3 linked regions of the Macaca mulatta genome follow. The protein of the gene in region 1 purifies or fractionates together with the protein of each later gene. This does not show direct contact. Links are inferred from orthologs where the notes say so. Each region holds a gene or a part of one and is shown in the gene's direction. Other genes may lie near its edges.

What was found.
Region 2: the proteins of TNRC6B (region 1) and AGO3 purify together in Homo sapiens (affinity purification with mass spectrometry; 6 studies listed by BioGRID and IntAct, with this or other methods). This does not show direct contact. The link is inferred for Macaca mulatta from reciprocal best matches to the Homo sapiens genes TNRC6B and AGO3.
Region 3: the proteins of TNRC6B (region 1) and AGO4 purify together in Homo sapiens (co-immunoprecipitation; 3 studies listed by BioGRID and IntAct, with this or other methods). This does not show direct contact. The link is inferred for Macaca mulatta from reciprocal best matches to the Homo sapiens genes TNRC6B and AGO4.

Annotation. Positions count from the first base shown.
Region 1 is NC_133415.1:11,267,021-11,270,669, reverse strand, and holds part of TNRC6B (trinucleotide repeat-containing gene 6B protein), read left to right. Parts: intron 1-3,483; coding exon 3,484-3,649.
Region 2 is NC_133406.1:204,774,247-204,777,895, reverse strand, and holds part of AGO3 (protein argonaute-3), read left to right. Parts: coding exon 1-118; intron 119-1,936; coding exon 1,937-2,027; intron 2,028-3,649.
Region 3 is NC_133406.1:205,006,394-205,010,706, reverse strand, and holds the start of AGO4 (protein argonaute-4), read left to right. Parts: upstream 1-1,502; 5' UTR 1,503-1,589; coding exon 1,590-2,128; intron 2,129-4,313.

The DNA of each region.
Region 1 (3,649 bases):
CCTGGAGGTTTTGTTTTTCTTCTTTTTATACTTTGACCTATTTGTACGTGATGTCCTGGAGTTTGAATGACTAATCTCCTGGGCCAGAGCACACTGTATTGGGAGGAAAGTGGTTGAGGTGTGTTCCCATTTTATAATGACTTTATCATTTACAATCCATTCTGTCTCTGATGTGGTGGGAAAGTGCCCTGAGGAACTTTTGCAAGGAATCTTACATGATACGTGATACCTACCAAATTTCTTCGGTTGAAACAGTGCTGTGAATGTTTTAAAGTGAGTCAAACTGAAGTTCAGCACTCAGTCCTTTAGGTCACTCTGTCTTGTCTTGTTTTTCTGGATTGAGTTAAAAGTATGTAGTAGACCTGGTTAACTTATAATGAAGATTCTAGACCTTTTATAGAAGGGCAGCCTTACAGAAACATAGCTCTTTCTGTCCTAAAAACCAGTTTGGATGAATTTCTCCAGTCTCTGCCAACTTCTTGTTTATTCTCATAATAAGATAAAAGGGGATTGCGAATGCCCTATGCTATAGAATCCGCCAATAACAGATAGAAAATTAATATTAAATAATCTTCATTCATTCATTTACCAGTTACGTATCCATCTATTATAGGTCATGAATATTAGATAATGACTAATTTTATTTTCTTTCTTTCTTTTTTTTTTTTTTTTTTGAGACGGAGTCTTGCTCTGTGGCCCAGAATGGAGTGCAGTGACAGGATCTCGGCTCACTGCAAGCCCCGCCTCCCAGGTTCAAGCAATTCTCCTCAGCCTCCTGAGTAGCTGGGACTATAGGCACACGCCACCACACCCAGCTAACTTTTGTATTTTTAGTAGAGGCGAGGTTTCACGATGTTGGCCAGGATGGTCTCGAACTCCTGACCTTGTGATCCACCTGCCTTGACCTCCCAAAGTGCTGGGATTACAGGTGTGAGCCACCGCGCCCAGCCGACTAGTTTTGTTTTCTTAAGTCACACATTTATTATGCTTATCAGATTTTGGATCCTGTGACCTCCACTCCCCCTCCCCTTACTGGGATGCCTGGTGCTGCCTTGTGATTGGCTGAAGTTAGACATGGGGTCGCCTGGAAGTTGCTGCAGGCACTTCCTGTCACCCACAGTGTGTTAATGTGCGGTAGTGGCATAGATTGGGCCGCCTGATTTCTGATGATGCTGTATCTCTCTCATAAAGGAGCCAGTTCAACAAGCGACATGCTGGCCCAGCATCATTTTAGCAGTCAAAGCAGCGTTACCCGCAGAGCTGGCCCTGACGTTACCCTGGGAGGCAGGGACTTGGGCCTCAGAATCATCTGAACTATCAGGCTTGATGATTATTTCTGTACGACTTCCAGCCTCTATTTGCCAGGCAGAGTTTATGGAGAGGGTAGTGATCTTTTGGCAGCATGTAGTGAGGGAGGTGCAGATCTCAGAGAGCCTTCTCTGTAGGTTCAAGGGGAGAGCCAGAGGATCTGGCAGAGTGCAGCTTCATGGTTGCCCCGACATTCCCACACTGTATGCGGGCCATTTTTAAAATTGAGGTCAAAAAATCGAATTATTTAAAGTAAATAGAAAAAGTATTTACATTTAACAAAAGCAAAAAGATTTGTAACATTTCTAGTATTTACACAGAGAGCGGTGCAAGTCTTTGAGTCCAGGTAGCTGTAGAAACCAAAACCAAGCTGAGTTTGTGATTTTCCAGACCTGGAGTTTCTTGTAAGAGTCTACTCTGTGCCATGCCCTAAGGAAAAAAGAAAAGATGAAAGATAGGTCCTTGCCCTCAGGAAGTCATGGCCTGGTGAGGGAGAAGGACTTGTAAGTGGAGAATTTCCGTGGCAGAGAGAGATGGGACTTATAAATGGAGAATTTCTGTGGTAGAGATAGATGGACTTTTGAATGGAGAATTTTCATGGTAGAGAGAGCGGGATGATGTGTTCCAGGAACACTTAGGAAGAATGTTTAGCTCACCTAGGCCGGGGACTTCAAGGAAGGTTACTCAGGGGTAGATCTTTTAAGAATGTGGATGAGGGCCGGGCGCGGTGGCTCACGCCTGTAATCCCAGCACTTTGGGAGGCCGAGGCGGGCGGATCACGAGGTCAGGAGATCGAGACCATCCTGGCGAACACGGTGAAACCCCATCTCTAAAGAAAATTAGCTGGGTGTCGTGGCAGGCGCCTGTAGTCCCAGCCTCTTGGGAGGCTGAGGCAGGAGAATGTTGTGAACCCGGGAGGCGGCAGAGCTTGCAGTGAGCCAAGATCATGCCACTGCACTCCAACCTGGGTGACAGAACGAGACTCTGTCTCAAAAAAAAAAAAAAAAGAATGTGGATGAAAGGAAGGGACCCTTGGACTGAGGCTTGAACCCTTTCCCAAGGACTTTGCCATGGACATTTAACTCTTCTAGGCAGCACTCCAGGGCATTAATTCCACTGTTGATTTAGGGGAGTGAATGATGATCGCTTCCATCTCCCCCTTAATTGATGGAATGTATTCCATGATCTTGCTGTGTTTAAATTCATGTCACTATTAGCCGCCACCTTCATCCTGCCTTCAGTAAACTGTGAAGAGATGGTGGAGAATTTGGAATAACTATGTCCCTTGAGAGTAGAGTGAAAGGAGAAGTTACTTTGTTAGAATTGGTACCATGTAAGCTTTCTTACAAATAATCTTAGCCAGGGTCTAGGTGTGGTGGCTCACAGCTGTAATCCCAGCACTTTGGGAGGCCGAGGTGGGTAAATAGCTTGAGTTCAGGAGTTTGAGACCAGCCTAGGTAGGCAACATGGCGAAACCCTGTCTCTAGAAGAGGAAAAAAAAATTAGTTGGCATGGTGGTGTATGCCTATAGTCGCAGCTACGTAGGAGGCTGAGGTGGGAGGATCACTTGAGCCCTGGAGGTGGAAGTTGCATCAAGTCAAGATCACCGCACTCCAGCCCGAGTTATACAGCAAGACCCCATCTAAAAAAAAAAATAAAAAATAGGCTGGGCGCAGTGGCTCATGCCTGTAATCCCAATACAAGACCAAGGCAGGCGGATCACGAGGTCAGGAGTTTGAGACCAGCCTGGCCAACATAGTGAAACCTCGTCTCTACTAAAAATACAAAAAATTAGCTGGTTGTGATGGCAGGCGCCTGTAATCCGAGCTACTTGGGAGGCTGAGGCAGGAGAATCGCTTGAACCCGGGAGGCAGAGGTTGCAGTGAGCGGAGGTTGCACCACTGCACTCTGGCCTAGGCGACAATGTGAGACTCCATCTCAAAAAAATAATAATAAAATAATAAAAAATAATCTTGGCCAGGCGCAGTGCCTCACTCTTGTAATCCTAGCACTTTGGAAAGCCAAGGTGGGAGAATCCCTTGAGCCCAAGTTCGAGACCAGCGTGGGCAACATGGCAAGACTCCATCTCTCAATAAAATAATAAAATTATTTAAAGTTTTAGAAAAAATGTATTTGATGTATTTCAAAGACTGTTTCCCAACCCCTCTCTTTTAGTGCCCGAAGTGACGAAACCAAGTTTAAGCCAACCAACGGCCGCCAGCCCAATTGGCAGCTCTCCATCGCCACCAGTCAATGGTGGCAACAATGCCAAAAGGGTGGCAGTGCCGAACGGACAACCGCCAAGCGCCGCCCGCTACATGCCTCGGGAGGTGCCGCCGCG
Region 2 (3,649 bases), on another chromosome or scaffold:
CACAATGTGTTCAAGTCAAGAATGTAATAAAAACATCTCCTCAAACTCTCTCAAACTTGTGCCTAAAGATAAATGTTAAACTCGGAGGAATCAATAATATTCTTGTACCTCATCAAAGGTAAGATATGCTAATCACTTATGAAAATATTATTTTTTATATCTTCATTTGTCTACATATGACCATATCTAACTACTATAAGAGCTGTGTAAGAGACCCCCTTAATAATTCCTACCGTGGGAGATTCATAGGCATTTTGGTAAAAAATTAAAATAATCTGGATTGGCAAGGGTCAGAGATTCTCTTGTGAAAATGTCCCCCACAATTTTGTTTTATTTTTTATTTATTTATTTTTTTGAGACAGAGTCTTGCTCAGTCACCCAGGCTGGAGTGCAGTGGCGCGATCTCAGCTCACTGCAAGCTCCACCTCCCGGGTTCCCACCATTCTCCTGCCTCAGCCTCCCAAGTAGCTGGGACTACAGGCACCTGCCACCACGCCTGGCTAATTTTTTGCATTTTTAGTAGAGACGGGGTTTCACCATGTTAGCCAGGATGGTCTCGATCTCCTGACCTCATGATCCACCCACCTCGGCCTCCCAAAGTGCTGGGATTACAGGCGTGAGCCACCGCGCCCGGCCCTTTGTTTTATGTTTTAAGCAAAGAATGAAGCAACAAAAGCAGAGATTTATTGAAAATGAAAGTACACTCCACAGGGTGGGAGCAGGCTCGAGCCCCAGCAATTTTCATTTAGTATGCAAAGTACCTCTTACCTAGCCAGAAAGTATCCAGAGATTGATTTCTCACTGGAGAGCCCAGCTTGAAGAATTTTCACTTTATTTGGTAATCATCTTCAATCTGGTTTCATGAGGCTGCTCACTTACCTGGAATGTGAAGGACAGAAGGACCTGGGGGCCCAGATTAGTCAATTAAGTAAGCCATATCAGCCCTCCTGCTGTAGTCAGTGAGAAAGCATATTACTGTTCGATCACCCTTCTTCGAGCTAGAACTCTTAGGAAGTGTGAGACACCACGACCTAGAAACAGAAGGTAGCTTATTGTGCAAGTCTCTGAGGAAGAGGCCACTTTTCAGAGAATTGAACAAGTTCCCTTTTAATAGTTGAAGCAATTAGGCCTCCAAAAAGTTAACTACCCACCACAAATAAACATTAGAATAAGGATTGGACCATGTTTTTTCCTCTTTTTCCATGCCACCTCTACTTTCTACCCCTGTTCAATATGAGATGAGATCCATAAATGAGATAAATAAAGAATTTTATCAACAAGTCCAACATGGTGAAACTTCATCTCTACAAAAAATAGAAAGATTAGCCATGTGTGGTGGCACGTGCCTGTCGTTCCAGCTACTCCAGAGGCTGTGGTGGGAGGATTGCCTGAGCCCGGGGAAGTCAAGGCTGCAGTGAACCGTGATTACACCACTGCACTCCAGCCTGGGCAACACAGTGAGACCCTGTCTCAAAAAAACAACAATAACATAAAGTAAAATAAAAGGAAATGCTAGCTACTTTATGACCATTGAATATATGTTACTCAAATTTATACTTTCGGCCAGGGCGTGGGAGTAGTAGATTCCCAAAACCCCTTCCAGTCTAAAGTGTAATGATTCCTTTTTCCCTTGAGAGATTACACAGGTTTAAAATATAAGTTGATTTTTAAACAGTGATAAAAATTTGTGGATCATAAGGAAGTTTATAATTTTGTGCCCATGTTGGAGAATACTAGCATCTGTTAATATGAATATAGCCCTTTTCAACCACCAGCATCACTATTTTAGACAAAATTCTGCTGTGAGTAAGACTTTGGATTACATAGGACTTCCTCTGTGCTGTCAATAACTTGAAGTTATGTTGCAATTGTGTGAAACAGATAAATGAATAATGAAAAAATGAAATATCTAACCCTTTTTCAAAATGTGTTGAAGACCTTCTGTGTTCCAGCAACCAGTGATCTTTTTGGGAGCCGACGTCACTCATCCACCTGCTGGTGATGGAAAGAAGCCTTCTATTGCTGCTGTGAGTGTTCGCCAGGTTTATCTTACCTGACGTTGACAGACCAGTATCAATTTTGCAGTTTCCAATTTTTGACTTTTAATATTTTCTTTGTAGCCAACTTTCATAAGTGTTCTTTGGGTTTTTGAAAAGAGTGATTATTCTCTGGTTTGGGGTTTACAAGTTCCATATGTAACTATTAAATCAAGTTTGCTAGTTATATCATTCAAATCTTCTGTATTATACTTTAATTTGTCTACTTGACCTCTCCATGATTATGCATTTTTAGTTACTTTTTGTTGTTTTGAATAGTTTGTATATTTCAGTAATGTCTTTGTCATAGAAAGATGCATTACATATAAGCCTGGTGGATTACATTTTTTAACATATAAAATGTCTTCTACCTTCATCCAGTTCAATACTTTGCACCTGAATTCTTTTATTTTATTTTACTTTATTTTATTTCTTTTTTTCAGACAGAGTTATCCTGTTGCCCAGGCTGGAGTGCAGTGACACAATCTCGGCTCACTGCAACCTCCGTGTCCCAGGTTCAATCGATTCTCCTGCCTCAGCCTCCCGAGTAGCTGGGAGTAGAGGCACCTGCCACCATGCCCAGCTAATTTTTCTTATTTTTTAGTAGAGACGGAGCTTCACCATGTTGGCCAGGCTTGTCTTGAATTCCTGATCTCAGTCAGTCCACCCGCCTCTGCCTCCCAAATTGCTTAGATTACAGGCGGTGAGCTACCACGCCTGGCCAAATTCTTTATTTTACTATTGCTGCTCCTGCTTTTAGCATCTGCCTATTTTTAATTTGCTCTCTAGTTGTAACCTTTTTGTGTCAGTTTAAGTGTGTTTCTTATAAACTTGAGAAAGCCTGATAATATTTTACCCATTTTGAAAATCACTTGATTTTAACAAATAACCAACATTTTGAAAATATGAACATATTTTAGGCTTATTTAATAAACTTCAGAAATTAAACTGTAAGATTTAATTGGCCAGGCGCGGTGGCTCATGCCTATAATCCCGACACTTTGGGAGGCTGAGGCGGGTGGATCACTTGAGGTCAGGAGTTTGAGACCAGCCTGACCAACATGGTGAAACCACATCTCTGTGAAAAATACGAAATTAGCCTGACGTGGTGGCAGGTGCCTTAAAGGTACCTACCTGGGTGACAGAGGGAGACCCCGTCTCAAAAAAAAAGATTTAATATTTTTTCTATGATCCATTGTAATCTTCACATAAATCGTACGTTTTAGGAATCTGATAAATACAATTCATCCCTGAAAATGATAGTAATATTTAAATTTTCACTTCAAGGTTTCAAAGCTATTTTTATTAGTATAAAGGAAATTAATTTTTATCTATTCTCTTGCTTTGTTTTTTTTTGTTTTTTGTTTTTTTTTTTTTTTTTTGAGACAGAGTCTTGCTCTGTTGCCTAGGCTGGAGTGCAGTGGCGCAATCTCTGCTCACTGCAAGCTCTGCCTCCCGGGTTCACACCATTCTCCTGCCTCAGCCTCCTGAGTAGCTGAGACTTCAGGCGCCCGCCACCACGCCCAGCTAATTTTTCGTATTATTTTAGTAGAGACAGGGTTTCACCGTGTTAACCAGGATAGTCTCGATTTCCTGACCTCGTGATCCGCCCA
Region 3 (4,313 bases), on another chromosome or scaffold:
GGACTTCAATGCAAGATTTAGAACTCCAATTTTCCCATGCTTCACTGCAACATCATATAATGCAAAGCCCGACTTACTTAACTTCCCTGAGCTTTGGTGTCATCATCTGTACAAATACCTTTCTTAACAATATCTACCTTACTGGTGGTTGTAAAGATTGAGTGACATGAGAAGCCCATAGCAGAGTGCATGACCAGGGTGTGATGCTAACATTTTTTTATCATTACATTAAAAAAAACTAGCTGGCTCTATGACTGCACATGGTAGGTGCTCAAATGAATATTCTACCACACAAGCTAGGGGCTAAATTGTCCCCCACCCCAATAATTTGTATATCGAAGTCCTAACTCTAGCACCCCAGGATGTAACTGTATTTGGAAACAGGGTCTCTGAAGAGGTAACTGAGTTAAAATGAGGTCATTAGAGTGAGTCCTACTCTAATATGACTGCTGTCCTTATAAGAAGAAGAAATTTGGACACAGACACGCACAGAGGGAAGTCCATGTGAAGTCACTGGGAGAAGGCCACCATCTACCAAGTGAAGTAGATAGGCCTCAGAAGGAACCAACCCTGCCTATACCGTATCTGGGATTCTCAGCCTCCAGAATTGTGAGAAAATAAATTTCTGTTGTTTAAGCCACCTAGTCTGTGGTACTTTGCTATGTTATGCCCCAGCAAAGAATACAACACACACACACTCATCATAGCTTTTCAACTGGTGGACAAGGGGCTCCTTCACTCTGCTGACTAGAAACTGCTTCTTGGCCTGTTGCCCAATGTTGTCCCACTCAAAGTCCTTACTGAAAGCCCTGAAGATGCCGGGCCTGCTGGGCTGACCATGCTGCCTTGGAGGTGGTGCTGCTCCCTTGGCTCTTGTCTGCTAAGGGGAAAGCATCCAAGAAAGCAAGACCTTTCTCTTTCTTTTTTCTTTTTCTTTTTTTTTTTTTTTTTTTGAGATGGAGTCTCACTCTGTCGCCCAGGCTGGAATGCAATGGTCCCATCTCGGCTCACTGGAACCTCTGCATCGCAGGTTCAAGCGATTCTGCTGCCTCAGCCTCCCAGGTAGCTGGGATTATAGGCGCCCGCCACCACGCCCGGCTAATTTTTTGTGTTTTTAGTAGAGACTGGGTTCCGCCATGTTGGCCAGGCTGGTCTCAAACTCCTGACTTCAGGTGATCCACCCGCCTTGGCCTCCCAAAGTGCTGGGATTACAGGCGTGAGCCACCACGCCCGGCCAAGACCTTTCTCTTCTAAAGTGACTGGTGATTTGCTGACCAGAGGCGCTTGTCATGGGACCGGGGAGGGAATGCATCATTCATCAGAGTCCATTCCCGTGGTGCCTTCCGGCTATACGGAGAGGGACGCGCCGTTGGGTGTGTGGTGCTGGATGAAGGGATGAAGGAGGACTGCTGCCTCTAAGGTGACCCTAAAAGACAGGATGACAGAAGCGATCTGGGGTGGGAGGAGGGAAGAGGGAGGCGAGGTGGCTCCTGTGAATCTCAGCACACTTTCCACTCACAGAAGTGGAAAACTGAATCTGTGGGTCGGCGGAACTGGAATCCAGATCTTTTGCAGGACGCCCTGGGGGGATGGCACGTAGCCCCCAGAGCCGTTGGCCACGGGACGGCGTCCTCGGGCAGACGGGGCAGAGCGGGCCAGCGGGCGCGTGCCCGACACGTCCACCGGGCACTGCCCCCTCCGGGCGCGCGCCCGTCCCGCCGACCCGCCTCGCCCCCCGCCGGGCTCGGTGGACCCCCGCACCTGGGCCCGCGCACGCCCCCTCCGCCCGCCGGGACCCCGGGCCCGCGCACCCCGCGCCCCCTCCCCTCCCGGCGGGCGCGCGCGCTGGCTCCCGCTCCCGCTCCCGTTGGCGGCGGCGGCGGCGGCGGGGATTGTTTTTGTTGTCGCTGAGGCCGGAAGAGCCGGAGCCGGGTCCCTGTCCCCGGGCCGGGCGCCGCCGCCGCCCCCTACCCAGCGCCCGCGTCTCCGCGGCGCCACCCCAGCGCCAATATTCCGGAGATCAAGCGTTACGCGGCGGCGGCGGCGGCGGCGGCGGGGCCCGGAGCGGGAGGCGCCGGGGACCGGGGCGAGGCGGCCCCCGCCGCCGCCATGGAGGCGCTGGGACCCGGTGAGGAGCGAGCTCGGGTAGGGGCGGGACCCGGGACCCGGGGCCCGGGGCGGGCGGCCGGGACTTTGGCTGCCCCGTCGCCCAGCCGGGTTTGGGCCGCCAGGCCTCGGGGAAGGGGACCCGAGCGCCGCAGCACGAAGCAGAGGGAGCTGACCCGGGCCTGGGGGGCGGTGACCGCGCCCCAGACGGCCGTTGGGTGGATCCTGAGGTCCGAGGGGGAGGTTCGGGAAGGTGACCCGCTCCGCCGGGCGGAGGCCACTCCTGGCCCCACTTCGGGGAGATGATTTGTGCCCGGGATCGCGGCGAGGGTAGTTTGGGCCTCAGAAGGGGCGATCCGCTGCCCAGTGCGCGCGGAGGCCTGGCCCAGACCGGGAAAAGGGCCCCGCTGCCAGCTAGTAGCCGGTAGTCCTGGTTTGGGGCCGCGCCCCTGTTTTTCTTTGCATTGGCAGACGGTCCAGAGCCTTCAGATGAGGAAGAAGAACTTCATCCAAACACCTCTCATGATCTCTGAAGGTCAAGAGACAAAATGCCCATCCTTTCTGAAAGGCCCTGATGTCCCGAAGAACATGGTTCTGTGCCTCTATCTGTTACTCAGTCTGTGTGTTAGTCACAGAGTGGTCCGGGCCAGCCTTTGAGTGACACGGGAGTTGCCAGCCAGTCTGCTCCAGCACAGGCTTCAGTGCCCTGAGTTCTCTTCTAATTGGGTTATGAGTGGTTGTGAGGATCAAATGAAGGAGAAAGTGCTTTGGAAACTGTAATTTGTTGTGGATATGGATGGCCTCTGGTTATTTCTCTCTATCCAAACCATAGGAACCATTCCAGGCTGTAATGAGTGCCCTGAGTATTGGGGCCTGGTGCTTCCACCTCAAAGCCCAACAGGTTTCTAATGCCTTGGCTAAGTAGCGCAGGGTTTAGGGGCTGTGGTGGAATTAACTTTAATATTCAAATCTTACCTACATAATGATCTTAGTCGTAGAGTGTTTCGTCTTTTTAATGCGTAGACAATTTGAGTTGCCATTTGAGTTTGGAAACTTGGCAGGTTTGTTTACTTAGCACTTGTTTGCATAGCTAAGTGATTAAACTCCACCCTAATTTGCTTCTTCAAGTATTGTTTAAAGGCCCTCATAATCAAATTTCATATGCCTTTTAAAAATAAATTGGCTTGCCGCATTAATATTATTTGATAAACTTCAGTGTATTATGCCAGGTTAACTTCAGATATGTCCCCTGGCTAAAGACATGATCAGGTCTTTAGGAATGTAACAGACTTCTGTTCAAATTCAATATAGTAATGTAAGAGTTGTATGACCCTGGGCAAATTACTTAATTCCTTTGAACTTTCATTTTCTCATCTCTAAATTGAGGGTAATAATAATTATGTTCTGTAAGATTGTTGAGAGAATGAAATGAGAGTATATGAGAAGTCTCACTATAGAGACTAGTGCCTATAGATGCTCAACAAATGTTTCTTCCCTCCCCCTAGTAATTCATAATTGAAACAACTGTTGCATTTATGAGCTGATATCAAAAGAAACTGTGTAACTGTGGGCATAAACTGAATTTCATGGAAAGGATCAACCTGGTGATGTTAGGCACTGCCCAGGGACTCTTTTTTTTGTTTGTTTGTTTGATTTTAGCTTTTGCAGGTTTGAGGATTTAGTGGTTCACTCAGGATTGTTCAGATTGTGGAAAATTAATTCTCACTAACTATATTTATAAGACACTAATGAATAAGCCAAAATGTCACATAGATCTTTTCTGTTGAGTGGAATATTTTCCTGTCTGCTCTCTAGCAAACTCCTTTTTTGGTGCTGCAGTACCTTGGAAACCCAACTAATAAGTAGCTGCCTGCTAAGCATAGAATCAGAGCAAAGGGAGTTGATCGTCCTGTGGGATGATTCATCCAGGCTGTTTTAGAACCTGGAGAATCATCCCTGCTTCTCTGGCAGAGCACACCTGGATCTAGTGCTTTGTGCCCTCCTCACTTGAACAGTCCCTGAAACCTTAGTCTAGTCTTATTCTGTCTGCCCCCCACCACCGCCTCCCCGCAACCCGTTTCAGTTTCTGCCAATACTCAGAAATATAATTAATTAGATTACCACTTATTATGGTAATATGTTGTTTGCAGTACTTTACAGTTTGTAAAGTGCCTTTATAACTATTAGGTCATTTAATCCTCTGGGAG